Rattus norvegicus: one gene and its partners. The protein of the gene in region 2 interacts with the protein of the main gene of each other region in a pairwise test. Links are inferred from orthologs where the notes say so. Each region holds a gene or a part of one and is shown on either strand. Other genes may lie near its edges. The genes, in order: Impa2, Uba3 and Cpne2.

Region 1 (10,467 bases), on a different chromosome or scaffold from region 2:
AATAGCTGTCATAACAGCAGTATGCCATGACTGAAGACGAGAAAACACCTCACCAGATAAATCTTGCTATGAGGGTTTAAAAACTTTTGTCTGTCTGCTCTGATCACAGAAATGGACATCTTCCGATGGAGAGGGTGAACGTGATCTGCTGTGATCTGGACGAAGAGGGGCCGACATCTGGAAACTCATGGCTACCTTTACCAGGGGCCATATAAGTGCTCGCGCCAATGACAGCTATGAGAAATATGAGGGGGTGACAAGCCTGGCTTGTGGGTCAGGAACATGGCTGAGGCTCACTGTAGCAGGGTCAGGAGCAGCTTGTCCTTGCTTTGCTACAGATGCTAAGCTGGTTCTACCTCAGAAGGTCACACCACGGGCAGGGTGGAGTCATAGTAGGTGTGCCCAGGTTAAAACCTTGGCTACCACATGACTACGGGGAACCAGCCTCTACGATGGTATTGTACTGCAGCCCTTATTCAGTATAACACCTCCGGCAGAATCTTCCATATTCCAGAGCCCCTTGCCCCTTTCTATACAAGCAAACTCATGTTTTACACTGCAATGAACTATGGTGAATCCCGTACACAACGATATGGAGGGCAAACAAAACAGGCAGAGTAACATGTCGACAGTCAGTGGGCACTTGAAGACCTGCCCATGGGACAGAAAAAGCATGAAAAACAGCAAGACTCAAAACTAGAGGGCGCAGAGCTTAGGAAACAAACCTGAAAATATTTCAGATAGTAAATAAAGAGAACATGAACTAGGGGCTGAGGGGAGGATGGCTCAGCGGTTATACTTCCTGCTCTTCCCGGGCTATGGTTGGTTTCCAGTACCCACAATGGATAGCTCATAACTCCAGCCTCTGGGGACTAGATGCCCTCTTCTGGACTCTGAGGGCATCTGCCTGTTACGGATTTAAGTAAAGGACACCAATTTCCAATTATAGATGTCCCAAAAGACAGAACACGAAGCAATGAGCTAGGGAAAAAAAATACTGTGGATTATAATTAAAAAATAATTTTTTGAAGTGAGAAAAGATAGGAAATGTTCAAAGAACTATGCCCCCAGAACTGGCTCGGTTCTGGAGTCTGGATACAAAAACAAACAAAAAACACTCCACAAAACAAGAAAACAAAACCCCAAATCCCTAAAACAAAACACTACAAGGTCCATGTGTGTCCAGAAGAAAAAGAAAATCCCTTACATGTGGAAGAAAACCAAAAAAAAAAAAAAAGAAAACCAACCCATCTCAGGTATGGCTGCCCTTTTGTAATCTCAGTTCTCAGAAGGTGAGGCAGGAAGATTGGGGTTTTAAGGCCAGAACGGGTTACACAGTGAGATCCAGTCGTAAAAAGAAAATCCATCTTTTGAACAGTTTACTGTTCACCAACTCTGCCAGCACATGGCAGGGACATTTTAGAGATTCTACACAAGAAGAGGTGACAAGTAGCAAGAACAATGATAATCTGTAGAGAACACAGGAATCGGGGCACGGTTCCCATGATTCTGCCCTGAGATGTCAACTAGGATTCTACTCTCATCACAAGTGCGACCCTCGACCTTCATTGCTTCCCCTGGGCAGCTCTATTAGGAGCACTTCCCCCATTAAATCAAGATACAATGTATCAATCCTCACTGCCCTGCACATCCAGAAAACAACAGTAACAATGGGAGGTGGTGGTGTCTCCAGCAAGGTAACCGGTGATGTCACCATCCCAGCTGGCGCTAATAGGCAGGAAGTTCCTATGTAAGTCACTGGCAGCAGATGTCCTTCCCAATTAGGAAGCTATGAACATCATCAAATGCATTAATCTTGAATTTGTGTGTGTGTGTGTGTGTGTGTGTGTGTGTGTGTGTGTGTGTATTTTTTTCTTTGGAAATAACCTTTACAGTAAGGAAACAGGTAGCCAAAGGATTTTGATAAACTAAGATTGTTAGGCCTTGAGTGTTTGGAAGTGAGAAAGAAAAAGTGAGCCTGCCACTTCTGTTACCAGTGCCACCAGACATAAACTCAAGTGGGGCTTACAACCTGAGAGAACTTGTGTCAGGGGAGGCAGTGCATGCCTGTGACCCGACACGGAAGAGGCAGAGAGAGAGGACGCTACCAGCTCAGGGTTGGCCTGGTCTATCAGTGAGAGCCCATTTCAAAAATTAAGAGAACTTTGGAAAACTTGTATGTTTTCCAACAGTTAAAGACTCGAGGTCTCCTGCTTCCACCCACCATGTGCTGGGATTATAAGCACACAGCACCACACCCCTGCCACCTATACAATCAGAGCACACTTTCTTTTCTTTTTTTTTTTTAAAGACAGGGTTTCTTTGCATAGCAGAACCCCGACTGTCCTGCCTTCACTTTGTAGACCAGACTGACCTTGAATTCACAGAAAGCGCCCTCTTCTGCCTCCCAAGTGCTGGGATTAGAGGCGTGCAACACTCCCAGCTGATTGTTTTTTGAGACATTGTCTCTCTAGTATACAGCTCTGGCAGTCCTGGGGTTCACCATGCAGATTGGGATGGCTTTGAACTCACAGAGATCACCTGCCTCTGTCTCCCAAGTACTGGATTATAGTCCTACAAGACCACGTCCCACCTTTGTAACTAATTATTTTCCACCAGATGCTGCCTGCTCTATGTACAGCCTCAGGCATCAGAGTGGGGACCTGAAGCCAGTGCGAGCACTCTGACATCTGTGACCAGAGGTGAGAACAGCTCACCACCCGGACTCCAAGTCACAACCGTGCTTTGGTGAGGTAAGGACATAGCGTGGCAGTGCGAGGAGGCAGAAGGGAGGCAGGTAACCAGTAGGGGCAGGAGCTTTAGAGACAGCAAGCAGCTTCTTTCTGCTCTGGGTGTTTCCTGGGGCCCAGCAGAGGGAAGTCAGGCCAAGTCTCGCCCTTCTGGGGTTAGGAGCAAGCACAGCAAAGGTGGGTGGAGCCATCAGAGCGAGCCGTCACCACCTGACTGAGCTGTGAAGGCAGTCAACCAGGAAGCGGGCGTGTGAATAGTTTAGTGTCCTATCAAATGAAAACTGGAGCAAAGTTCACCCAGGCATGTTTAATGGCTGGCTTCCTCCCTGCCTTTCCCAGCTAGGCTTGGATGGATGCCTTTTGCCAGCATGGCTGGAATTAACATCACTCCACAGCCAAACTAAACACTCTGGCAGAAGGAGAAATGGGGCAAGGTGCTTTTCCTGGCCCGCTCCGGGCTCAGAGCGCTGGTTTGCCAATCGTCCTGCTGGGGTATCTCACAGGGCTCCTGTGAGTTCTAGCCCCCCGATCTGGGTCCATGCGGGACTCTCACCAGCAACCTCTCCTCCCCACGGGCCTATGAGCACATCCACACTGTGCCTTCACACAGTAAGCTAGATGCTCACAGGCTGGCTCAGCATGCCAGTGTTAACCAGGAAGCTACCCAGGAGGGAGATGAGAGGAAGGAACTGTGAAAAGATAAACCAACAACAGGCACAGAGAAATGGCTGGTAAAGAAAGTAGACGGGCTGAGAGTCAAGTGCTGACATCTTGGGACTGAGGCCAGTGTCAGCCAACAGAAAGCAGGGACTGAGGCTGGGACACGTTATGATATGCGGCCTCTGACACGTAAAGAGCAGAGGCTGCAATTGCCGTCCGTGTCCTGCTCAGAGTTGCAGAAGGAACTAGGGGATGCTAGGGGAGCCACTCCACGGCCAGCTTCGCTCCCATCCTCACTGCCTTTCCAAACTCAATTACGTGGCCACTCAGGGGCTTTGAAAGTCTTCCTCTTCCACGGCTGGCTGCTCTTCTAGGATCCCTTTTCTTCCCTGACTCTGTTCACTACCATGTCTCCACCTTGGCCAACATACACAAAAAACCCTGGCTTTATCTGTTGCCTACCACACCTATCCTATACCCGATAAAAAAACAAACAAACCAAAAACAAACTACTAGTTTAATCATTGTGGGTTAAAGGGTGGAGGAGAGAGAACACCCTCGGTGTGCCATTCCATGGGCTACCTCCTGCAAGCAAACAATGTCCTTAGACCTCTACATTTAAGGAAAACAAAGGACAGACATAATCCTGGTGGCAGGCCCCGGGGCACGTTCAAACACTGTTCCTCTCCACCGTGCTTCCGCTTCCAACAGCAAGGTCAGAGACCAGATACATGCTGTGGTCATGGGTCCCCCACCAAGTTGTGCCTGGATGCTCTGCGGGCCCTTGGTCTAAGCCGCTCTCTTGGTCCCACCAGACCAAACTGTTCACCAGTAACTACCATTTTAAAGACAATAGATACAAGAGGCTCTGATAATGTATTCAAAGTATTGAGCACCTACACAGAATAAATGTTGTCGATTTCCACTAGGGACACTGTATTCCTAAAAAAGAGCTAGCACTCTCTGTAGAAGATGGCCACCAGGGCTGGAGAGATGGCTCAGCGGTTAAGAGCACCTGACTGCTCTTCCAGAGGTCATGAGTTCAATTCCCAGCAACCACATGGTGGCTCATAGCCATCTGTAAAGAGATCCGATGCCCTCTTCTGGTGTGTGTGAAGACAGCTACAGTGTACTTATATATAATAAATGAATAAATCTTTAAAAAATAAAATAAAATAAAATTAAAAAAAAAAAGAAGAAGAAGATGGCCACCACTATGTGTAATAGTCCCTGGGCATCTAGCTCTATCTGAAACGACCCAAAAAGAGCTGGATGAAGCTCACCTGTCTCCCTGGAGACCTGGAGCCTCTGGCCATTGCAAAAGGCGCCCTGGCCCCTCCTGCCGGTGTACAGCCGCTCCTCTGTGCAGTGGTGAATCACTCCGAATTCCAGCTAGAGGGGGCAGGAAGAAAGTGGACAACGTCACTTCTTGACACAAAGGCAACAGTGATCTAAAGAGGGACACTCCTCTTAGAGCAGGAACTAGCACTGTGACAAGGGGACAGAATTGTCTTCCAAAGAGGAATGGAGACAGGCAGACTTCGAACTACTTCTGGTCATGAAAGCGAGCTGTTTCATAAACGAACATATCAAAACTATATTAATACTAATAAGAGTATTAAAATTATCGTAATGAACTCTCTCCCCTCTCCACCCATAATTGTGACTGAATAAAAAAAAAAAAAAAAACAACTCTTAGGTATCCTCCACGTTACTGGTAAGTAAAGAACCCACAGACATCCCCAGGGGCATGACCACTGGCTAGCAGGAGGAAGAGGTCAATATGGAAGCGATAAGCCTTGTGTCCAGCACTCCTGTCTCTCTCTGCCTGCTTCTCACAACCCTGGGGTGAATATGTGTCTGTGCTTGGTACCATATGCCCATCTTCAGGGTGGTCATCTTCAGTGCCTTAGCAGAGTCTTAGGCAGCCCTTAGAATCTTCGCCACTCAGCCTATAGAACAAGTTGTATTTCTGGAAGGGGCTTCCCGACAGTCCGTGGTTCTCTAGCAATACTTACCTGCCCTACACCTACCCCCACCCCTGGCCCCAACATGATATCCAGATCTAGGCGTCACCGTATTGTGTGGTCACCTGTGATGAGGCCCCATTATCAAGGGGAATGTCCAGTGAGCTGTGGGGAAGGGAGAGTTGATTCCTGGATTGGACCATGACTGATTAGAAGTATTCCTGTGCTCTGGAACTAGAAACGCAGGACAGAATAGGACGGCCCAGCCAGGACAAGGACCTGTCTGAGCTTTGTGGCCCCAGTTTTCTTTCCTGGCAGCCCTGACTCCTATTATAATAACCTGGTGGTTAGGAGAGCATTAATGTTAACAGATCTCTGTGATGATGCAAAGAAACCGATGGATCATCAATTCCTTACCCAACTGGCAATATTGAAAAGTTTTACCAATATACCAAAAGTATATACCCTGAGGTATAATGCAAACTTACTGTCCCCATGAGAGGAACATTCGTCGATATTGCTACACTGCTCTGAATGGGGGCAGTTGTAGGAGACATTGTACCCCAACTCTGCTCATATGACTACAAGAAATGAAGGCTCTTGTCTTCCTGCATAAGCCTTCGCCCTCTGTCTGCCTTTCTTTTAGGTCTCACGCCATGGCTTAGTCCAGAAAGTCCCTGGGAATCCTGATAGGGCCACATTCTCATACTAATAGCCAGGAGGAAAAGAAGAATTAATGAAATATTGAGATGTCATCCAAAAATAGGAGTTGTCTTTTGTCTGTGACTAGATCACACGCTCTAGGGGTCAGATGGAGACTCATCGGGCCATCTGCTCAGAACATTGCTTTCCACAGCAGCTATGACTGGACCACGGAAGAAGAAAAAAAAAAAAAAAAAGAGCCAGTCCACCCCAGGAGACATAAGACCCAAACCCACACCCCGACACACTAGTCACGGTTACGGTAAGTGTCAAAGAGCAACACAGAAACTGAAACCAGGCAAGGAGGGCCGCATTACCTCCTGGTGAACAGCAAATCCGATGCTAACTGCCACAGTGGGGAATCTGTGAGGGAAGGCAGAATGGGTTACATAGAACACTGGCTCTCAAAAGCTCTTGTGTGTAGCTGTGTGAAGGCTTCCCTCCCGCCCCACAAGGACCTTTCGGCACTCTGGCTAGGTTTGATTTTCAAAATGACTTTCCAGTTTCACTTACTGCTTCCAAAATAAACAGGCTCAGCTCGCCATGCTGTAAAATAGCGAACTTAAAGCAACCGTAGCGCTCTGGGAGCCGTGGTAAGACTGAGGCAACTTAACAGCGACCACATAATACTAATCAACATGACTATAATAACCACAGTCCTGGTTCTCAGCAACCTAAGCAGGTAGAGAATTCGCAAAAGACCAACCCCAAATTCAGAATGTATGTGGAGGGCCCAGTAGATGATATCACAGACCCTGGACTGCAGCCACCACACAGATGTGACCTTTCGACAATGCCAATAATATCCCCATCCCGTCTCCGGTTTGAGCTCCCAGAAGGCAACAGCAGGGTGAGCCAGCGGTAGAGGGATGGTTCTGATGCCACAGCTTGACCATGGTTTTAGTTTCGCCAGTTTGTTGCTGTGTTTCAAAATAGTCTCTCCTTTGTGAGACTTAAAAAACAGGAAGGGGCCAGGAAAGACCAAGTACTGTGAACTGGCTGGGGAAAATACCAACCCAGACCACGAGTGGGCAGAACCCTGTGCAGAAACCCTCAAAGGCCGGGCCGAGTCTCCCTGCGCGCGTCCTAAGGCAGGCATCTCTCAGCTTTTCCTCAGCCTCATTGGCTGTGGCCCAGCACCGCAGCCTTTCTAATGGCTCAGGTCTCAGGCCCAGCTGTGGCCTGGATATACTGGAACTGTCAGGTCAATATTAGAGCCTGTTTCTCAGAGGACATTCTTTCCAGCCCGGATTTCCCTGAGGGCTGCAGATCAGGAAGTACTGTAGATCCCAAGGACACCAGAGCCCTGGGACACCTTAGCACGAACCATCGTGGCCTTTAGCTGGAATGTGGTGTAGCCGCTGCATCCCCGTTATGACCACCTTGGGTGACAAACGGTTCAGAGGTGAAAGGCGCCTCACTTAGCGAAGCGTGAAGTGACGGCCTGGTGGCAGCAGATGGCACTGCTCCGAAGCATCAAAAGGGTCCCCTTGTTCATGCACGACTGGGTTCTCAAGGCAACGGGCACTACAGTGGTCATGCTTACCGTGTGCTACTCAGCAGATAAGCACAGCACGGAGGCCAGAGAGCTAGGCGCCCCACACCCAGCTCTGCTCACGTTACTTCCTCAACGTGCCCTATAGTAACTTTTGAGTATGAGTGGGGAAGTGCTCGCAGCATAGAAATATCTGCAGAGAACAGCAAGCTAACACCCCCCCCCCGCCCCCAGGGAAGCCATGATGCCTATTGTGTGGCTGGGTCTTTGGCTCCTTTTACGTGCCTTTCAGCAAGTATACATAGCTCTCATACCTGTCACCGTTAGGGACTGGTAGGCCTTCAGGCTTACTCCTGTAAGCCCTATCTGCAGCCACAAGGTTGGCTCCTGAGAGAATGACTTCTCAAATCTCACTGGCATGTCTTGGTTCTGTACCTGAGGCCCAGGATTCCTGCTCCAACTCTACCTGTTTTCTAGGGGCAACTTCTTAAAGGAGCCGCAACACAATGGAATTCAGTGTCTTACAGCTGTAAACAGTCTCCCAAATGAGCTTCATTCTTAGGCAATTATGTTTCCAGTTTTTAAAGTATAGTAAAATATTTAAGTATAGGGAAAATTGATCTCAAACTTGTGATCCTATCTTGGCCTTTGTGCTATAGGTCAGGAGTAACCAAAAACACTTAAAGAAATAAAGAATCCCCCAAAACATAGCTCAAGCTGGCCTTGAACTTCTGACTTTCTTATCTCCACCTCTCAAATGCTGGGATTACAGGTGCTCGCCACCATAAGTAGTCACCCCCTACAACACACACACATAACACACACACACACACACACACACACACACACAGTACACATACACACACGCACACATGTACACATACACACACACACACACGCACACACATGCACACACATACACACACACACATGCACACACATACACGAACACACACAAGGTCTTACTGTATGGACCTAGCTGACTTGGAACTCAGAAATCTACCTACCTCTGTTTCCCAAATACTAAAATTAAAAGCCACGTGCCAACATGCCTTGCCAAAAATTTTTCTAAGACAGATTTTCCTTACATATTCTTTAGAGTCATAAATAGAAAACCTTTTAAAAATATCAAGTTCTGATTTCCTCTTAACAAGACTAGAAATTTCAATATTTTACAATATTTTACATTACGTAAGTATTTTAGATGCTTATGCTATTGTAAAGAAAACCTAGGGGTCCCACAGAGCCCCGTAACTTCATGTTTCCCAGCTCCTGCTTACCTGTGCACAAAGTTGCAGGTGCCGTCGATGGGGTCGATGATCCAGGTCGGGCTGTGGGTGAGCACACACTTGGCCCCGGAGGCTGTGGCCTCTTCTGCAATGAACCTGCTGGGGCAGGGGGCTCAGCCTGAGTCAAGTCCAACACTCAGCAGACGAGCGTATGTAGCAGGCACAAGGCTCTGGGTTCCAGCCCCAGTACCAAAACACCCCCCACACCAGACTGACTCTCACAGCTGCAGTTTTGGAGGCACACAGGGGAAATGGAGCAGGCCAGGCAGAGATGCGGGAGTGCAGAGCACCTGAAAGAGCACAGAGGCAAGCAAAACTTGGTTCCCAGTTCAGCATGGAGCTACAGATGGAGGGGAGGCAGCAGAGGCCCAAGAGGTCTTGCTAGTGTGCAGAGCAGAACCTGGACCGTAGAAGGGAAACGGTCACCTACATCTCCCTTCCCCACTTGGACCCTTTACTCTTCCCTCCTTGGTCTCTGCTCCCCTTTGGGAGAAAATAAGAGCTGGACAAGGGAGCAGTAGAGTTAGCAGGATGCTTCATGCCCCCCTTGTCCTCAGTGTCAAAGCAGACCCTGTCCTCATAGTGTCACCTTGACATGCTCCTTCAGGGCCACTCTGGCTGTCTCCAGATCAGAGGTTCTTGATAAGGGGGCTCTGGGCTGGCCCCTCCTTTGTTATAAGGCCCTATGTAAATAAGGCTCCCTTAACTTTCCTCAGGAGTGTGATCTCTATCCTACTAGGAGACAAAACCTTAAGCTGAATATTTGCAGGTGTCTTAGTTAGGATTCTTGTTGCCGTGACCAAGGCTACTCTTGTGAAGAACAACATTTAATTGGAGCTGGCTTACAGTTTCAGTGGTTCAGTCCATTATCATCATGGTGGCAACCAGGCAGACATGGTACTGGAGGAGGAGCTGAGAGGTCTACACCTTGACCTGAAGGAGCCAGGAGGAGGCTTTCTCGTCAGCACTGGGTGGAGCTTGAGCACTAGGAGCCTGCAAAGAGCCCGCCTACACAGTGATAGGCTTTTTCCAGCAAGGCCGCACCTCCTAATAGTGCCACTTCCCATGGGCCAAGCGTATTCAAACCACCACAGAAGGGGATGTCATTAGTACAAATGGGGCCAACAAGCACCAGCTGCCCAGGCCAAAGGTAGGGAAGCTCCTTCTACTTCTTTTCTACCCACATGTAGGCTCAGAGAGAAGGGGCCCTCTTAGGTGACACTAAATGTGACAAATGCTTGGCCATAGGACAAAGACTTAAGAGTCATACCATTCCCAGAACTGTCTTCTGAAGGTACTTGATATTCCTAAAGTGTCCTAGAGTCACTTTTTAAAAAAATTTTTTTCAACGAAAACAAACCATACTCTATTTTTTTAAAGACTTATTTATTTTATATGTACTGGTGTTTTGCCTACATATATATCTATGTGAGGGTGTTGGGTCCCCTGGAACTAGAGTTACAGACAGTTGTGAGCTGCCATGTGGGTTCTGGGAATTGAACCTAGGTCTTCTGGAAGAGCAGCCAATGCTGTTGTTCTTAGCCAATGAATCATCTTTCTAGGCCCCTCAAAACACACTGAACTCTTAAAAACACAAGGAATGG
Region 2 (9,242 bases):
AGATATCTCTTCTAAATTATGAAGATGGTGTGTTGGATCCAAGCTCCATCGTACCTTTGATAGATGGGGGCACAGAAGGCTTTAAAGGGAATGCCCGAGTGATTTTGCCTGGAATGACCGCTTGTATTGAGTGCACTCTGGAACTTTACCCACCACAGGTAATCAGAAAAGTTCCTACCTCTCTTTCTTAGTATCTTGGGTGGTAATTAGTGTTGGAATAACATCTGGTCAGTGTCTAGGGTTTGTAATTGAGGATAAGTGTTTAAATATATCATTTAAGGGTATAGGTTCGTATTTACCATAATGACAGCATGGGCTCAAACTAGTGGACTTCAGCCTCAAAACAAGAGCAAAATTTAAAACAAAATTTGCTTAGACGAATAAAATATGATAGTCTTCTGTGTTTGAGAGAAGATGATATATATCAGATCTGCTTTTGTGGTTTTGTATTAGTACTTTTTTTAATTGGTATTTTGCTAAGTGTGTTTTTGTTTTAATTATGTGTGTATGTGTAAGTGTGTAGGTATGTGAGTACAGTGGTCCTGGACACCAGAGGTGACAGATTCCTCTGTAGCTAGAGTAACAGGCTGGTGTGAGATGCCTGACATAGTGCTGGGAACCAAACTCAGTTCTTCTGAGAGAGAAGTGTCCGCTCTTAAACCACTGAGCTCCAGCTCCTTACTTTTTTTAATTTAAGAGAAATTACGAAGTTATATGTTGGGATAAGTTACATTCTGTCTGTTTTCTTCATATACTTTCCTTTAATTTAAACTTAAGGTGAAATGTATATACATAGGGTTCAGATATTTGTTGGACTCTTAGAGCATATCTTTCATGAGGAAGGAAGGTCTACTGAAGTTATTACAGAGACCACAACTCCTAGGCAAAAGGCTGGTTAGGTGACTTAGCCGATAAAGACGCTGAGTTAATCTTAGGACACCCATGGTGGAGCTAAAAGTCTTCTGACTGTCATATGTACACTCTAGCATGTGCTCACAGGCACATACATGCAAAGTAATTGTGATAAAGAGTTTAGGATTAAGAATGATCTTGTCAAAATGGAGCTCTATAGCATACACACTCACTTTAAAGGATGGTTGCAGTTTTGATTTGTAAACATTAGCAGCTCTATGAGTATTAACTTACAGTTGGTTGAATTCTGTGCTTTTGTGCTAGTTTGCATTATACCTTTACATTGAATACAGGTAAAACTAAATCCCTTCCATTTCAGAATTTATTTAGTACTTTTCTTTTCATTGCCAACAGAGCTCTAAAAATGTAGGACACATGTGTCTGTCTTTACAGGCAGGGCAGCCCTGAGAGACTCTGATGCCTCCTGTTAGTATACAAGTCTTCGTGCCCTATAGTGAAGAGCTGAGATGAATGCTATGAACTAAACCTGAACTAGACGTTGCATTTTTAAAATAGCTCATAATTTAAATTTTACTAAGAAAGACAAATTTTGCGCTTTTAGGTCAATTTCCCCATGTGTACCATTGCATCTATGCCCAGGCTCCCAGAGCACTGTATCGAGTATGTAAGGATGTTGCAGTGGCCTAAAGAGCAGCCTTTTGGAGGTAATTTAACAATCTAGACTTAAAAAGTATTTTATATATTACTCATTTTGAAATTACATTTAAAAATTACCTTATGTTTGTCTGCCCCACAACAGATGGGGTTCCATTAGACGGAGATGACCCTGAACATATTCAGTGGATTTTCCAAAAGTCTGTAGAGAGAGCATCACAATATAATATTAGAGGTGTTACCTACAGACTCACTCAAGGTGAGTTAGTGAACTGTCATAGTTGTGGGATTGGTAGGGAAATACTCTATGGCAGTGATTTGTTCCTAACACCATCTGTATCAGATATTTACGTTATGATTCATAACAATAGCAAAATTACAGTCAATAAAGTAGCAACAAAATAATTTTATGGTTGGGGGTCACCACAACATGAAGGACTGTATTAAATGGTTGCAGGATTAGGAAAGTTGAGAATCACTTCTCTATGGCAAGAATGCTTGATATGTAATTAAGACATCACCATCCATCTGCAGTCTAATTGAAGAACTATGGAAGCAGTGTTTTTCCAGTTATTCCAAGGTAGTAGCTAACCGTGTTCTGGAGAATACATGCTATTCAGCTAGTGGAGATTGAATGGTGCCACTGATTCATATTTTTATACAATTGTACAACTGAAAGAGCCCTTATCTTCAAAGTCTAACTTGTTCACTTCATCTTCACTGACGAGGAGTTTATCCTCTAGGAGAGCTGTTGAAAGATTGTCAAGTAGTTACTCTAGCTGTGTCTTCTTCAGTTTGAGTTTTGGCCAGTATCTTACATAATCTAATTGCTTTTTTCTTTTATTTTAAAATTTTTATGTGACTATTTTGTCTGTTTGTATATATGTGCATCTCATGCATGCATGCCTGGTGCCTGCAGAGTGTAGAAGAAGGCATGCGTCCCCTGGAACTGGAGTTATAGAAAGATCTGAGCTGCATATGGGCATTGGGAGCCGAACCCTTTTTGCATTTAATACTCTCTTCACATTCATCGCTACTCATTAAAATTTGCATATCTTTTCACAGATCTAGTGGTTAGGCCTTCCTTTCCCCGTTTCTCCCTCCCCATATCCCCTTTCTCACAAAAACAATATTCTGGAGGTTGTTTATTAAATTTTGTATTAGTCCTGGAGATCAAACCAAGGGTCTTAGCAGCCTTTTTAGATTTGTCTCAATCTGTTGTCAGATCTTCTTGAGTCTCTCAGACTTCTTTACTGTCTTCACAAAGATACCATGAAAGACCTTTCCAGATGCTCCCCCAAAGCCTGGTTGTTCTGTGTTCCCATTTTCTGGTTGCTGGGTCAGTCAGAGTCCGTGAAGGTGCCTCCTCTAGCCTGGGCTCACAGTGAACAGTCCTGCTCAGCCTGGGTGACCAGTGTTCAGTCTTGTTATAGTTCTTCTCTTTTGGAGTTTTGCCATAGTCTCTAGAAAGAGTTGTCTGTTCTTTTTTCAAATTTGTCATTTCTTTTCTGTGACTGTTTTCTTTACTCGTTCTGGTATTACCCCTTAAATTCAGTTCATGCCTACTGCCTGTTTCCTCATGTTCGTCTACTTGTGCTCCTCCTGCTGGAATGCTGGGAACACATCTGGTAGTGCTGCCTCACCTCCAGGTTCACGTGGTTTCTCTAGAGTGAGTGATTCAAGTGCAGTTGGAAGACCGAGTCTTCCTTTTTTATTATGGAAGATGGTTTGTTCATAGCTTACATGAATATGGAAGTGAAAAGTTAGAATCAGTCAAACTAGAGAGTTGTGCTTTGTCCTGTGTGGTCCTGTTGGTAGTGTAAAAGAAAGATACTTTTAAAAGGTTGTTGTATTTTTTTCTATTGTGACATTTTGTGAATGGAATGACTTGAATTAACTATATCAAGAATCATTAGGAAACTTCGTTTATACTTATTAAGACATTTCAGAGTCTAGTACTATGTATAAGACTGTGTGGGGTGGGCATGTATGGGCACAGCCCATTTCTGTACTTGCTAGGAGTAATGTTGTGGGTATCATATTTAATTTCTCAGCCTCGTCTCCTTTCTTTTTAGAACAAGGATGGTGAGACTACCATCACCATGTCAGTAACATTAAATAATATTTAGTATTCGCACTATATTTGTAGTATAAGGAAACACTATTGTTATTATGTTTTTGCTTTGTCCTTATGGAAAACTACAGAGACTTCGTTTCAGTACTGTTGCTTAATGTTTCAACACACTAAGGCTGTTAAGAATTAAAGATGATAGTTCATGTTTAAAGGTGTCTGCTTTTTTTTTTTTTGGAGATAGGGTCTTTTCGGCTTCCCACCACCATGCCTGGCTATGCCCAACTTTATCTCTTGATTTGAATGCCTGAAAAATCAGAAAATGGTATTTCATAATCGAGACTTTAAATGTCTTAATTACATGATTTTAACTTAAAGTGACTTTTCTTTTTTAAAAAACACAGAGCTAGAGAGATGGCTTAGCTGGCTTATTATTCATAACTACCTCTAACTCCAGCTTCAGGAGGCCAGGCAAGCTTCTGGATTCTGAGGACCCCTCCACTTCCATGTTCACATGTACACGTGTGCAGTACACACACACACACACACACACACATGTGTTCCCCTACACCTGATTAAAAATCTTGAAGAAAAAAAAACAATGACCATATTTTATTTGGCAAATTTTTCAGGGGTAGTAAAACGAATCATTCCCGCAGTAGCTTCTACAAATGCAGTCATTGCAGGTAAGGGAAAAAGACTTTCAGTTTTACTTTTTGCTTTGATTCTGACTTAATGTCTAAATTGACATTTCTGTAGTTACTTGCGTTCTAGGAATTTGATATCTTCTTGGGTGGGTTGCTCCTGTTTCCTCTGTATTTTTTGTTTCATTATGTCTTACAGGACCTTATGTTTCTCTTAGACAAAGTGCTCACAGTAAAGGAATGTTTTAGCATGTCTTTTTACTCATAGGGTTAGCTTTTCATTGATCTGATGAGATGAAGGAAAAGTTGTATTGTTTAGATCATATAAAACAAATACAAAACTTGTTCCTTCCTATGTTTTTAAAGTTGTGTATTTTAAAATCCATTTTCTATTCAAATTACAATTTTACCTGATTTACAACTGACTTTCAAAGTACGTAATTTTTACTGAATTCAAATGCCTTTATTTTTTTCTCTAGCTGTGTGTGCCACTGAGGTTTTCAAGATAGCTACAAGGTAATGAGTTTTATTTTTAATATGTGTAGAAATCCTCCTTATAACCTTGCTCAATTAGATAAAATGAACTTTTTTTTCATTACAGTGCGTACATTCCCCTTAATAATTACTTAGTATTCAATGATGTAGATGGACTGTACACTTACACATTTGAAGCAGAGAGAAAGGTTAGTAGCATTAAAGTAATAAAAATATTCTTCACTATACAATCTTTGCTTTTATATATTAGTTATTAGGAATTAGAAGATAATTATGCTGTGAGTTACTAAAGCTAATACATAATATGTATCTTTTGTTAGATAGCTTAGATGCTGTAAAGCATAAGAATTTAGAACAAATAATCTATTACAAAATAGGCTTTAAAGCAAAAAGTATTTTCATAGGAAACATGCATGATTGTAAAATAACTCGATTTCCATGTCTGCTTAAAAAGAGACTGAGACAGTGTGACTCTTTTACGTTTGCAGGAGAACTGCCCTGCGTGTAGCCAGCTTCCTCAAAACATCCAGTTCTCCCCATCAGCTAAACTGCAAGAGGTGTTAGACTATCTAACCAATAGTGCTTCTCTGTAAGTGCTGAGTGTTTATATTGTAAAAGTCAGTTTTAAACTTTACAGTAACAAAGCGAGAACTATTTTCTTTAAATAAGATGGTGTTTGCCACTTTATTTTAGGCAAATGAAGTCTCCAGCTATTACAGCCACATTAGAGGGGAAAAACAGGACACTTTATTTACAGGTCAGTAGTATTCATTAATGTTTTTGAAGAAAATTGTGTTTTTTTTTCTTATGTGCTATGCATTAAAATAATGTTGTTCTCCAGTCAGTAACGTCTATTGAAGAACGAACGAGACCGAATCTTTCCAAAACATTAAAAGGTATTTTAAGTAAATGTATACCCTAACATAATTTTCTTTTTTAGTAAATGTCTGCTATCTCTCCCTCCTTCCCTCCCTCCCTCCCTCCCCCCTTTGTGGGTGTGTGTGTGTGTGGTGGGGGTGGTGTCTGTCTGTGCTCAGTACCAGGGATCATAATCAGGCAACCCTTGCTGGCTGGCACGGGCCTTATCCCTGCGCTGGCTGTTTCCTCAGCCCTCAGTGTTTGGAGATAGGATGCGTTTGTGTGTCTTTAGCCTTGAACTTGCTTGTAGCCCAGTCTGGCTTTGAACTTAGGTTCACTCCTAATTAAATATGACCAAATTGTAATTATTTATATCTCTAAAAATTATAGAGTTGATGGCTCTTTTAATAGAAAAAATTAAAACTCCAAGAAATCAAATTTAAAAACGTATCTGAACTATAAAGCTATAATTTGTGTGTTTGTGTCATTTTTGTTGTTGTTGAGGTATTTATTTACCTTGGTCTAATGACAATTTTCTATTTTAGAACTGGGACTAGTTGATGGACAAGAACTGGCTGTTGCTGACGTCACCACACCACAAACTGTACTATTCAAACTTCATTTTACTTAAGGAAAATAAATCTGCACATAATAGAATTCATAGAAATAATATGCTTTATAAATGTTATGCAATTGAAGAGCCGGGAAGATGAGGCAGAGGGGAACACCCAAGAAAGGAAATTTAATTGATGTCATTTTTAGCATTAGTGTGGCTAGAATTTGACTTTTTATATATACATATATATAAAAAATGAATGACTCTTTTTTAACTTTATAAGTTTCTCTTGAAGACTGAACTTCTGGGTTGGGCTAGTAAGCATTTTCATTTTAGTAATATTGAAAACCATGCCTCCAGGAAAGATTATGAACAAATGTCCTGCTTCTTTAAAGCAGGACAAACACTGTCTTTTTGTGTGAGTTTGTTATGGTCAAACAACATATTCCTCAGCTTGCATTTGAGCATCCACCTGTATAGAAATGTATTCTTGAATGGAAATGAGGAATTATGTCTTAAGAACATTAAATATTTACAACCTGACATCTAGAGATATCAAACATAGGCAATTTCTTCATTACTACTCATATAATTGTGACTGTCCATGTGTGTATTAATTATTGCAGAGTTTAACTTGTCCATGATAATTTGTAAACAGTATTATAGAGTCATACCTGTGCATGAAAATACAAAATATTTTCATGTATTTATTTGCAATGCCACAGAGACCAGTATGCACAAATTTAAACCAAGACATGGCTGTTCAAAGAAATTAATGTTTCAACAGTTATCATTGATGCTTTTGCACTATTTATTAATAAAATTGTACATTGTCTACTTTTTATTGAAAAATTTAAAGTATATCAATAATAGTAAATAATTTTATAGTGATGTAGAAATAATTTTTAAATGTTTAATAGTTATTATTACCAGACTTTTAATTCACCTGAGTTAAATTTTTAAAAATTTACTGTAGTAATTTCCATAGTACAGACTAGGTTCATTCGTTCTCATTGGTAAATGAAATGGAGACTTAATTTTTATCGTAAAGTTTCTTTCTTAACATGCCTTTTTTTTTCTTCAAAAATGTTAAAATCAAAGTGGATCACAAATACTAAAAATATATAGTTGTAATGTTTTAATGTGGGAACAAATAGAACCTAATTTTCATTTTTAGTTGCAATTTTTTAGTGGGTGGAATCTGTCTCTGTCTTGTTTCTTTCTGGTGTGGGGATGGTGCAGGAATATAACCTGGGACCTCCCCCATGTAGTGAAATGCTCCATTACAGAGCTATACCCTAGTTTCTAGCTACCTACTGACAAATTCAGTTCATTATAAAACCACATAGGGTACAGTTCTATGCTTTACCCAAAATGCTACAGAGTTAACACAGTTTTTCTTTTTCTTTTTTTTTTTTTTCCCGGAGCTGGGGTCCGGAGCTGGGGTCCGAACCCAGGGCCTTGCGCTTGCTAGGCAAACGTTTGCTCTACCACTGAGCTAAATCCCCAACCCCAACACAGTTTTTTCTTTATGGTTCTTCTAGTATCAGATTTAGAGCCTTGTACTAGGCCAGTATTCCATTACTAAGCTGTATCTCCAATAAGGCTCTTTTTCTTCCTTTCTTTTCTTTTCTTTTCTTTCTTTTCTTTTTTTTTTTTTTTTTTTAAATAAGATAAGGTCTCATTGTGTAGTCTAAGCTGGTTTTAACTTGTGACCCTCTTCCCCTGCCTCTTTCTCTACTGGATTATAATGATATGTTGCAAAGCACCTGACCTCCCCCCACCACCCCCTTTATTTTTTTTTTAAGACAGGGTCTTACTGTGCAGCTCTAGTTGTCCTGTAACATTCTATGTAGACAAGGCTTGCCTAAAACTCAAAGAGATCTGCCTGTGTTTGCCTTCCAAGAGCTGAACCTTTTTAAAAGCGAAGGTTATTAACACTGAGTGCCTCCTTCATAAAGATGCTGTAATAATTTTAAAGGCAACAATATTTCATCATAGAGCTTGGAAAATAACTTTGAAAGGTTTATATCATCTGCCCAGTGCTGTGCATTTAGAAGTATTGGGACAGGAATTCTAACAGGCCTCAACTCGCCTTACATACTCAGCTAAACTCTTTGAAAGGAATTGGGTTATTTAGTACAATTATACAACTTGTATAATTACCAAGTATTAGTATAAACGTGCATAGATATTTTCCCATGGGTCTGAATACTTTAATGTACATGCACAATGAGTTGAAACCCTGTGCTGACAGAGTGATGTTTGAACCAGAGGCTTCTGATAGGGATAATGATACTGATAAGCAAAATTAAGGTTAAAACACAGGGCCTGCAAAAATCTACCAAGGCAGGCAAGGCCTGTGATACTCTGATCAGAGAAGTCAGAGACCAAGGACAGAGGCTTTAAAGTTACAGGACATAAGACCCTTCACCCCCTCTTCAACCCCTTCAGCTGCCATCTTTGCCACTTGTGGCAATATACTCTGTACATTTCTCTTTATGAAAGCCACCTCCTCTTGCTCCTCCTCAGCCTATGGCATAAGGCACTCTTCAGCTTGCTGTGATTCCTCCTCATCTTTTGGCTTTTCCTGCTCTCTGGCTCCTCATGTTGTGTTTGTGCTTCATAATTTGGCTTTTCTTGTTTGCCCGATTTTGCTTCACCCCCCAGGCTCAGCTTTGTCTTCGGCCTTCTTTCTTCTATGTAATTTTCTATGTCAGCCCCCACCCCCATGCTGCTTTCTTTTCAGATACACATAGGTTTTCGAAGAGCTGGGTCCTTGGTTCAACGTAAACACCCTCTAGCCACTAGCCTGTCACTAACATGCTCAAAAAAATGTAATACAATAGGATAAAGTTACTGGAAGGTCATACCTTGCCACAGTTATTTTTGTAAAAAAAAAAAAAAAAAGTCTTTTTATAGCTAGTTCCTTGCAGTGTAAAGCAGATACTCAGGGAGCAGACAGATAAGACAGAGTTCTTAGAATGAGTTGTCAGATATATGGAAAATTGTAAAGTGTGAAAATAATTGTCAAAAGGAAATTTTAGTTCAGTTATTCTTTGTCACTAGGTAACACCTTTGGAAAAAGGAT
Region 3 (10,467 bases), on a different chromosome or scaffold from region 2:
GTGTGCATTGGTATCCTTCCTGGCTTGGGTGCCTACTCTGGGAGCAGTGACTCCGAATCCAGTTCAGACAGCGAAGGCACCATCAACGCTACAGGGAAGATCGTCTCCTCCATCTTCCGAACCAACACCTTCCTTGAGGCACCCTAGCTCCTGACAGTACCACAGGGAGCATCTCCTCAGAGGGTTGGATGCCAGTTCTGCCTCGGCATCACCGCCCTCAAAAAACTTACTCACTTGCTTCCTGTGTCCATGTGACATTTTAACCTAACTCAGAAATGTGTCACAGTCCATTTGTGGCTCACACTTGGTTTGATTTCTCTTTATACTCGAGTGCAGATGAACAAACCTGTCCCGTTGGTATGAGGAGTTGGGGTTCAGGCTGTCTCAGAAATGTCACTGACGGTAAGGACAGGCACAGCTGCTCGCAAGGACTCCGTGTGTCCTGTTGCTGTCTCGTTTATCTCCTCACCTAGCAGCACAGGAAGGGCTTCATTAGCTTCATCTTCTGTTATAGATGAATGGGCGGTCTGGTTCTGCCATGTTGTGTGTGGGCATAGAGAAAGGGGCCGACTAGCTGGTGGCATGGAGCTCTCTCCCCTGGGACTAACCCTTCCTGGGTGTTGTGGTGACTTCAGTAAAGATTGCAGGCCACACCCACAAGGCTGAGAGCCAACTACAGCCCTTGAGGTGACGCTCTTCCATGTTCTCCCCTCTCCATCCAGCCTGAGGAGGTAGGAGGGAGCTGATAATGAGGACGTGTCCATCTTCTGCCCACCTTCTCTCCCTGAGAAATTGTTTTGATTTTGTTTTTGAAATAAAAGATTTAGTTTGATTCTGAATGTTAGAAAAGCAAACTTACTGAATCATAGCCAGAAACTGTAACTGCTGATAGCTGTGTTAAAGAGATGACTAATGCCTGGCAGTTTCTGGAATCCTCAGACTGCAAACCAGTGGGACATCCTGCCTGCACGTTACGGCTGTACTCTAATCCACCAAAGCACTGCTGTTTGCACATACACTGCAGCTTTTGACCTAAGCTATTTCCAGCCAGTCTAAGGTGCTGCTCACTACCTTTCCTCTATCCAGTGTGCCTTCCCCCACTCCTACACACACACACACACACATACACACACACACACACACACACACACACACACACACACACACACACACACACACACACACACACACACCAGTTCCTGGGCTATGAGCAGCCAAAAGCAGCAGGCTCTTGCCTTTTTTTGTCTCATAGAGGGAGGGAGGGAAGGACAGAGGGAGGGCGGAAGGGAGATAAGAAGGGAATAGGTATGCAGGGCTTAGGGGTTAGGAGAAAGGTCTGTGTGTCCTGCTTCAGAATGAGCCTGAGAGGTTCTCTTCTCGCTGGTCTCAGCATCCATTGTTTTTTCCCTTCCTATGGGTGTGAGACGAGCGAGACACTGAATGTGTTGGCACTGAAATACTGGCAGGCAGAGGAAGCTCCTCAGTTTTAACGTGGGCAGAGAGGGCCCTGGATCTCATCCAGCCCTTCCTTTCCCCTTCCAGTGTATTGACACTGGTGCCTACCAGCAGATGGTGGTTTTCCTCCACCATCGTCGATGCCTGTGAGCATCCTTTGCAGAGCCTCCCAGTACTAATCTTTTCTGACTGTCAGTGCAGGCCTGTCAGCTCCCTCCTGACGAACAAGACATTTAGGTAAAACTGCAAGCACCTTCTGCCTCTTTGTATCATTGTTCCTACGACTGTGCTGTCATTCTCGAAGCTCGTTCCTGTATCCAGAGCAACCCTGAGCCATTTCAGGAGGCAGACCAAGACATCAAAGTCATCAGCATCACATAGCTTGACTTTTCAGACCAACTGGTCTACCTCATGGCCTCCTGATGTTGAAAAGAAGACGGCAGGGTTGCAGGGTTTAAAACTGTCCATTAACTTTAGTTTTTAGCCCTGTCAAGCTAGCTCTTGCCCTGTGCCACATGAGCTTACAGCCCTCTCATCACTTGAAGCTGATTGCGGAGCAGTGTGTAGCCCAAGCTGGCTTACAAATTCACCATCCTTTCACTTCAGCTTCCTGAATGCTAGGATCACTGGTGAGTGCCGCTGCACCCAACCGCGATGTCACTTTTGGTCCTTCTGGTGGCCTTTTTACCAGAGTTCATTGTGCCTCCATGGTGTAGGGGCCTGTAATCGAAGCACCACTTCCATGGCAAAGCAGGCCAACCAAGGGAAGCAGCTATGGTTTCCTCCCACAGAAGAACAGAATGAGCAGAGAGAGATAGAAGAAAATCCCACCTTGACCCTCAGAACACAGTCATTTGTGTACCTTGGCAGGTCTCTCCGGGGGAGTCAGATTAATCAGGGACCAAAAATACTTGAAGGAAAGATTCTCTCTGTACTGACCGTATATAGACTTTTCTTATTCCCTACAAATAACACTGAGTACAACAACTTGTAGCATATCACGGTCCAGACATCGTAAATTGTTGTAAGTTGAGTAAGCTAGGAATGACTGAAAGTCTAGGGAGATGCATGAGTAGGCTCTGTGCAGACAGCATTCCACAGACAGCTCTTGAGCATCTGCAGACATTGACCTCTGAGGAGGGTCTATGGACCAGTCCCACCAGACGTGCTCCTGCCTGCATTACTAGACTTGTTTCTTTGAACCTTGTACATTATCTTGGGTGGCAGAATTCCTGGGATTCTGAGACCTCTTGGGGAAAGCCCCAGCGATCTGTTGCCAGCTCTACCTGGGAGACAGTGAACTGTCTTGAGTTGTATTAGTATTGCCCATGCCCTTCCTGTCTCTTCCTGACATTTGTCTACCTGAAGCCATTCACATGGGTGGGGAGGAAAGAGACCTGAAATTCAGGTCACCTATTTCTCTATAAAAAGCTGGGAGGCTGATATGACTGGACCTAGACAGGTAGCTGACTTCCTGCCTTGCACAGAGGTCTCAGGACCCAGCAGAGAGAAAGATTCTCATGCACGAGCACCCACTACTCAGTAAGGTACCTTGTTAGAGCCCCTCCCCTCTTTTTGTTTTGTTTTGCTTCCCTTTTGGCCAGCTCCTCACTTAAGGAAAAAGCTTGGTTTGCCTGAACCAGCCCCTTGAGAACTGCATCTGTCCACCCTGCATAGATATGCCGTAGTGATCTCATGACAGCCAGACAAGGCCCTTCACCTAGGAAACACGAAAAATACCAACTTGCTATGGTCATATGTAAACCATCTAGATTAGAAGCCTCCCAGGTCTGGTCGGGTATCTAGAGTGTATTAATACGCTGCACACAGATTTGTACAGTGCTGGCATCCCCACTTGTAACTAGAACACGGACATGTTGGAAGGGTCAGATCTGGTTGTCCACTCCGCCAGCTTCTGCCTTAGCTCCAGTTAGCTAAATGTTAATTGCTTACACACTCCGGATTCTTTGGCTCAAATGTCCTTGCCGTGGGTATGTGACTCAGCTGTTATCTTAGGCCCCTCCAGGAAAGGAAGGAGAGCTCAGTGGTAGTGAACAGTTACTTGGACTCCTGGCAGCCAATGGAATACAAGTACTCGGTGCGTGATGCTCAACTGGCATCACAGTCAGCCCTAATGACTGTCAGGGGCTGGCATTGTTCCCCTACCTGCTGGGGGAGTAGTTTCAGAGGGAGTCGGAATAGCATTAACGGTCCTGGCCCCAGCAGCAGAAGAGACACAGAAAGGCCTCATGGGAGACCGGCTTCTCTTGTTTCTGTGACACCACTGAGGCCTGCTCTGTACAGATCAAGCAGCTGGGGGACATGCTGAATTGTTTTAGTGGATTTGTTTTTCATTCTGAAAAAGCACTCTGAAGCCAGCCCTTCTATACATTCTATAGAGGAACCCCAAATTCCCAGAGGCCCAGTGACTCGCCTGGGCTGCCCTGCTATATGACAGAATCAGATTTGTATTTATGCCTAAAGGCTGTCTTTCTTGCACACTCTCTCTCTCTCTCTCTCTCTCTCTCTCTCTCTCTCTCTCTCTGTGTGTGTGTGTGTGTGTGTGTGTGTGTGTGTGTGTGTGTGTGTGTGTGTGTGTGTGTGTTTGAGACTGACTCCAACACTACACAGTCACCTACCTGGATATATCCGCTAGACTCCCTTGTTGGCTAAACCGGTTAGTGGCTGGATGTGGTAACATACATCTTTAGTCTTAGCTACCAGAAGATAGAAATAGGATGATCTTTGTGAGTTCAAGGCCAGCCTGGTCTACATGGTGAGTTCTAGGGCAGCCAGAGCTATATACTGAGATCTTGTCTCAAAAAACAAAAGCATTTGGTGGCCACAGAAGTGTGCTCCTCATTTCTACCACATACACTGTGGCTCCTGAGATTGGGATCTGCCCAGTGCTGACCAACTCCAGCATCTAGGAAGGACTGCCCTGGAGGAGAAGGCAGAGAAGGCTTAGTGTCCACAGAACAGGGTAAGGTCATTAGCAGCTTGAGTGGAAAAGCCCCTCGGAGATGCTGAGGGTGGTAGGATATGCATGCACAGTGGTCCACCACACTCCCATCTGCCTTCTGTCTGTTTAGTAGGCCTGCTGTGTTTCCCTGTTTCTGCAAGATCATGGGAGGGCTGTGGAAGGTTCGATGCTGGTGCAGGGAGCTAGACACGTGGTACAAAGTAGAAATGTTCACTGTTCCAGTTGCATGTCTGCTTGTCAGAAGACTGAGAACTCCTCATCAATAGAGTACGGGTGTGGAGGAGAAGGACTGAGGAGGAGGTCTGGGGCCAGTCTCATGAAGAGGAGGTGTGTGCTAAGAGGAACATGCAGCAGGAACAGACATGACCTCGTTTAGGGTCCTGACACCGAAGACATTGCCTACTACATCCGGGGGAGAAAGTGGGCACTTCTGGATGCTGTGTCCTGCGCCAGTGTCACGGGAATCACTGCTGGCGACAGGGAATGCATGTCCCCATGAGGAAGTGATCACACTGACCCTTCAAAAAGGGGGCGGGGATGAGGGTCTTCCTAATGGTTTTCTTTTCCAAATCAGTGAGTGCCCATTGACCCTCACTAAGGAAGGAGCTTGACAGGCAACATCTGAAACTCCTTTATTACCCTGAGTTTGACAAGTAGAACATAGTCACAGTATAAAAACAGCAGACCACCATACAAAGTACACAGTAGGGATACATTCCTTCTTGCAGCTAGTTACTTAGAAAAAGCCGGTTACGATTGTAAAAATTTTATTCTCTTTGATAACAATAATTCCACTAAAATTATACAAAGTACATTCAATACTTAGAGTGGCAGGAGGGCGGGGTGAGGGAGTTGTTTTGTCCTGGAAGCATCATCATTGACTCTGACAAAGGGAGCCCATATGGGCTGGGGAAGTTGGGGTGGAGGTCCAGTTGTAAAAAATAAAAATGTGGACTGGTTTAAAAAAAAAAAAAAGGCCACCCACGAGGAAGCAGGGTGAACGTGCATGTTCCTGGGGAGGCTGGGGGCTCAGCTGGCATGCTGTGGCTGGTCCCGCGCTCAGGCAGGCTCCGAGTTGGTGGGGGGCAGGTTTTTATGCTTGAAATACTGCACTACCTGCTGAGGAAGCTCTGCAAGCACCGCTTTAGCCAGCGTTTCTTTGGCTGCCTGTGGGATGGATCCAGGTGGGGAGAAACAGGAAAGAGGAGGAGGATCAATGAGCAGGTGAGAGATTCACCATCCCAGAGCTGTGATAACAGGGCTTGAGGGCCAGGGCCCTCTGAAATGAGTGGGCCTCAGCTCAGCCCGAATGCTAATCCCACCACTAGCAGTGACTTCCTTGTCACTTCTCGGGATGGGGAAAAGACCTTAGGGGATGAATTTGGGGGGGAAGAAGTGGTGTTTTAGCTTCCTCAACCTGAGGCTTTTCCTGACCAACAGTCAGTCTGTGAGAAGCATCAGTGAATGCAGCCAGCCTCAGGAAAGTGTCAAGTCACTGTCCCATATAGCAACAGATGACCAACGAATGCCCCACATTTGTTCTAGGAAGCCAAAAAGCGGGACAAAACCATCCTAGGCAGAGACGTGGTGGGCACTGGGCCACCATTTGCCAAGGCTGGATCCCAGGATTTAAGCCTGACGAACCCATAGGCTTTAGCTGAGGGAACTGAGGCTCAGGAAACTCATAGCCTTCCTAAGGCTGGGCAATGTGTTACTGATCCCACAGGAGTCAGAACCTAGGCTGGCCTTACACAGATGCCACCCAAAAGTCCTGGATCCATCCAAGAGACAGAGCATCTCATGGTCATTCTGCTAACCCTGGCCAGCTGCTCAAAGTTCACTCAGCAAGGCCAGAGACACTTTCAGGAAGAGGCTGGCCACCACTGTATATCATATCATCCCCACATTTGGGGGAAGAAAGCCAGGCTAACAGGAGGGTTTCTCGGCTTTTGTTTTCCCATCTGCAGAGTAAGGGTAGAGGAAAGGGCAGGAAGCTTCAGTTCTCCCACCTCAGCCTGCCTCAGTGTTCTGGGTAATCTTAACCCAGGACACTACCTAGAGCCATAATCTGGATTAGCCCCCACTCCTGGGTTCCTTTGACTTGTGGAAAGAAGTGGTGACAGTGTCACAGTGGCCTTATCTTGGGCAAGGTGACAGCGCCTAACTCACCGTGGGCCCTCAGAAGCTCACAGTACAGGGGGAGGAATCTGAGAGGGACCAGTGAGCTCTGCTGGAGACCCTGCAGCCACTCTCCCCCTCCCCACCAGGGCCCACACTCACATTGCGGAACTCTCGGAAGGGCACGAACTGCACAATGTCCCGGGCTGCCTCCTCGCCTGTATGTGAGCGCAGTCTACGGTTGTCCCCATCTAGAAACTCCATGGCTGCAAAGTCAGCATTGCCCACACCCACAATGATAATGGACATGGGCAGCTTGGAGGCCTGCACTACGGCGTGCCGTGTCTCCTCCATGTCACTGATGACCCCGTCAGTGATGATGAGGAGGATGAAGTACTGCTGTAAGGGAAGAGTGAGGCAAGTGATGAGTGTGAGAGCAGCCTCGCCCCTCCCCTCCCCTCCAAATCCTCAAGGCAAACTGCCCACACCTTGGACATCTCTGACTGGCCCGTTCTGAAGCTGGGCCCCGGGCTCTGCCAGTTACTGTGAGCACAGCTTTGGCCACTAAGACTTAATCTGCCGAGTTTCTGTTTCATCACCTTTAAACTGAGAGTTACTAAGCTCAGAGCTGACGTGCCAGCCGCCTGACAAGCCCAGGCTTGCACAGCAACACAGTCTAGCCTACAGCCTCTACGGCTGGCCTACCTCCCCTGTCTTTGTGGGCAGGAATACTCGTTCACTGTTAGCTCCATACTTGGCATGGAAGGAGACACCTGCAGGGGCTAAGCTCAGGTCACGTGGTCCGTCACTTCTGAGGTGGATCCCGGTCATGGCTAGGCTGCAGGGCTGTCACACTTAGGGCAGGAGTAGGTAGGTAGTCAGTGGTCACCCTGCCTAGGAGGCAGCTTTGGTGTAGACTGGTATCAGGTCTCCAGCTTTCACTGACCCCCCTCATCAACAGAAGGTAGGAAGTTCATAGGCTGCAGATAGAGCCTAACACCACTGCCCTGTGTCTCCCTGTTACCCTCTATTTATGACAAATGACACCAAACTTTCATTAGCAAGATGCTTTTCTTTAGGAATTATTTCAGGTAAAATGCATTGAATAATGAACATGAGCTGCCTAAGGATAAAGTGCACACCGGATGACTTGATGTGGAGAAGGGAGGTGACTGACAGGAAACCGTCAGGGCAATCCAGAGGTGGCCAGCCCTTTACTTTCACCCCAGGGCTGTCCTGACCTACTGTGGCCCTGTTCAGAAGAATCCAGTGTTCTGTCCTATCCACAAGATAAACACAGGAACCTTGTGCTGATTTACCATTGGGGGTGTCCGCCTTCTAATTCTGTCCTCTGACCACTAGTTGCCAAAGGGATGTCATGAAGCTAAGGGAAGGCCACCTTTGTGACCCTGGTGGGCCTGAAGCTACCTTCTCCACGGTCAAGACTGTGCAGCTTGTGGACAATACAAACCCAGCCTCCAGAATACCCCATCCTCTTCTGTTCCAAAGTACAAGGTCAGGTCAAGATATGGTGGGCTTGTGCAAACACTGGCTTCACCCTCCACACCCCAGCTCTAATGCTGTGCCTTTAAGAGACCAATCCCCTGGCTGGGGATACTTGTTGCCATGGAGATGGAGCCTGAACCCAGCGGTAGAGAGCTGCTGCTGGCAGCCCCTAGCCCTGGTTTTACCAATCCATCCAGACCCTTCCCTAGCCAGCTTTTATCCACATTAACTCCACCCACCCGGCAGTTCGGGGCAATATTCCTGGGACTTCGGCTGGCAGAGAGAAGGGCAGGAAGAAGCCTGACACTGAGGAAAGATTTAATTGGCTGCTCAGTCAAAGGTAGCGCTTGTCTGCAAGCTCCATTCAGCTCAGACATGTGCCCCCACCTCCCTGTGGTCGTCCTTCCTTGTTGTAGCCTGCTGCCTTCCTTCCGGGGGGATGTGAATGCAGAAATACAGAGCCTGGGTCCCTGCAAGGCTGCAGGTGGAGCGGGAAGGACAAAGGGGTGCCTGAAAACAGAAGACCTTTAGCAGACAACCTAACTGCCAGTCTGGCTTAGAGGCCATCCGATGGCTCAGAGAGCTTTCACAACCTGCTAAGGTCCCGTAACAGGTAACTGGCAGGTTCTAGGTTCGTGCCCAAATCTGCCTGACTACAAAGTGCCATGCTGTCCTCTGCCACCCACTGCATGGGTGGCTGGTCGCTGTGAGCCTGGCAGGAAAAGCTCCCTTGTCACCCGTTAACCTGGAGTGAGTCTGAACGAACAGAATAGTGGTCTAGGCAAAGTCCAGAGCCCTAGCTATAGCCCTCACTCCTGGGTGCCACAGCCAGCTTGCTCAAAGCCATGGCCGTCAAAAACCAAAGCTTCGAAGATCCACCACTACACCCAGAGCCCCCAGAGCAAATCAGAAGGGCTGTGGAGGGCAAGAGCGGAGGGTGGAAAGGGACTCCGAAGCCCTGGTGTCCCTACTGTGCTGTCCCTCCGCACACACCTTCCCTACACCCTAGGTGCTCCTGACAGCCCAGCCCACATTGCAGGTCAGGGGCTTGGCTCTCCATCTAGGTCTCAGGAACCAAGTCCCAGCTTTTTCAAAGAGCAGAGCATCTCTTGCCAATTCCAGGCCTGCCTCACGGGGCTAGGACTGCACAGCTACACCTCCCACGGCACGAATGACTGGAAGAAACTGGCCTGACCCCACGGTTTAGGCAGCGTGGGGAAGCTGCACTCACCTCCGGGTAATTTCTGAAAAGCTGGCTGCTGAGGGCTGAGATGGGGCTTGCTACTTGTACTCCAGCAAGGCCACTTTCAGGTCATCAGGTCACTCAAACCTGCTTGTTACCCCACCCCTACCCCCACCTCCGGTGGCTTCCCACTACCTTCGGGAGGAAACCTAGAGTGTCTGACGGCTCTCAAGGTCCTGTGGGAGATAGTGAGCTTTCTGAGTCTCGCCAACTCCGTCACAATCTCCTTACACACGACTCTATCAGTTATACCCACACACCAAGACCCACCCCCCACTCTTAAGAATCTCTCAAGTGTAAGCCTGGATATCCCCTTCTAAGCACCACCCCTTCCTTGTGCCCACTGTCGCTTAGGTGCCACCTGTGCAATCCTGGACTGTAACCATCACAGGCAGACATTCCTGCATCGGCCTCCCAGCTAACTCCCCTAAAAGCTGAATCTCACTCATCCAAGTGTCCTTGGGGCTGCCCAGAAAGGCTCAGAAAAGGCCCGAGGAAGAAATAATGAATGGAAGGTGCTAGAGACACCACTGCCTGCTCTCTGTGTCCTGTACGTGGGTGTGTGCTCTGTGTGCATACGTGAGGGGATGTGGAAGGCAAAGCCACATTACATCCCCCAACACCAAAACATGGCCAACCAGAAGCATTGGTTAATCCCCCAATTACTTCTATCGGCTGCGGGTCTCCCTGGGCACAGCGCTACCAGATGCTAGCCTGAGAGATGTCCGTGCCTGTCCCTACAACCGACCTGTCTTACGTGCCAGGCTCTAGACTGAACAGCGCACGCGCCCATTTGGGTGACTCTCTGCAGCACTCAGAGATGGGAATGCTGTTGTACAGGGGAGAAAAACCAAAATTCAGAGTGTTAAACTACCTGTTCTAGTAACACAACCAGGGAGTGGGGGAGATGGGGCTCGAACCAGGTCCTTTCAGCTTGAGGTTGAGCCACCCCGCAGCTCCACTCGCCTCCTCTGGTGGAGAGGGTCAGGGTATGTGGTAGAAAAGTCTGTATCTACTCCTGGATCTCGGAGTGGAAGCGGTGGCCGAGACCCCAGGCTCTACTCTCACAGCTGAAGTCCAAGGCCTCGGAGGTAATAGCTTAGGCTGGGAAGCCAGAGGTGGCTTAGAGTTGCAAGTAAAACCAAATCTACCAGGGTTGATC

What was found.
Region 1: the proteins of Uba3 (region 2) and Impa2 interact in binary tests that used the Homo sapiens proteins (3 or more experiments, as listed by UniProt). The two-hybrid records come from large-scale screens. The link is inferred for Rattus norvegicus from reciprocal best matches to the Homo sapiens genes UBA3 and IMPA2.
Region 3: the proteins of Uba3 (region 2) and Cpne2 interact in binary tests that used the Homo sapiens proteins (3 or more experiments, as listed by UniProt). The two-hybrid records come from large-scale screens. The link is inferred for Rattus norvegicus from reciprocal best matches to the Homo sapiens genes UBA3 and CPNE2.

The regions. Positions count from the first base shown.
Region 1 is NC_086036.1:63,121,498-63,131,964, reverse strand, and holds part of Impa2 (inositol monophosphatase 2), read right to left. Parts: intron 8,960-10,467; coding exon 8,855-8,959; intron 6,443-8,854; coding exon 6,397-6,442; intron 4,803-6,396; coding exon 4,694-4,802; intron 1-4,693. UniProt on the Homo sapiens protein: Phosphatase that can use myo-inositol monophosphates, myo-inositol 1,4-diphosphate, scyllo-inositol-1,4-diphosphate, glucose-1-phosphate, beta-glycerophosphate and 2'-AMP as substrates in vitro.
Region 2 is NC_086022.1:131,343,980-131,353,221, reverse strand, and holds the end of Uba3 (NEDD8-activating enzyme E1 catalytic subunit), read left to right. Parts: intron 1-2; coding exon 3-158; intron 159-1,474; coding exon 1,475-1,577; intron 1,578-1,672; coding exon 1,673-1,786; intron 1,787-4,230; coding exon 4,231-4,284; intron 4,285-4,721; coding exon 4,722-4,758; intron 4,759-4,843; coding exon 4,844-4,925; intron 4,926-5,225; coding exon 5,226-5,326; intron 5,327-5,430; coding exon 5,431-5,494; intron 5,495-5,578; coding exon 5,579-5,633; intron 5,634-6,140; coding exon 6,141-6,226; 3' UTR 6,227-7,003; downstream 7,004-9,242. UniProt on the Homo sapiens protein: Catalytic subunit of the dimeric UBA3-NAE1 E1 enzyme. E1 activates NEDD8 by first adenylating its C-terminal glycine residue with ATP, thereafter linking this residue to the side chain of the catalytic cysteine, yielding a NEDD8-UBA3 thioester and free AMP.
Region 3 is NC_086037.1:10,435,191-10,445,657, forward strand, and holds the end of Cpne2 (copine-2), read right to left. Parts: exon of another isoform or gene 7,045-10,467; intron 6,956-7,044; coding exon 6,719-6,955; intron 5,606-6,718; coding exon 5,498-5,605; 3' UTR 5,055-5,497; downstream 1-5,054. Other genes in the region: Psme3ip1 (PSME3-interacting protein), read left to right, coding at 1-147.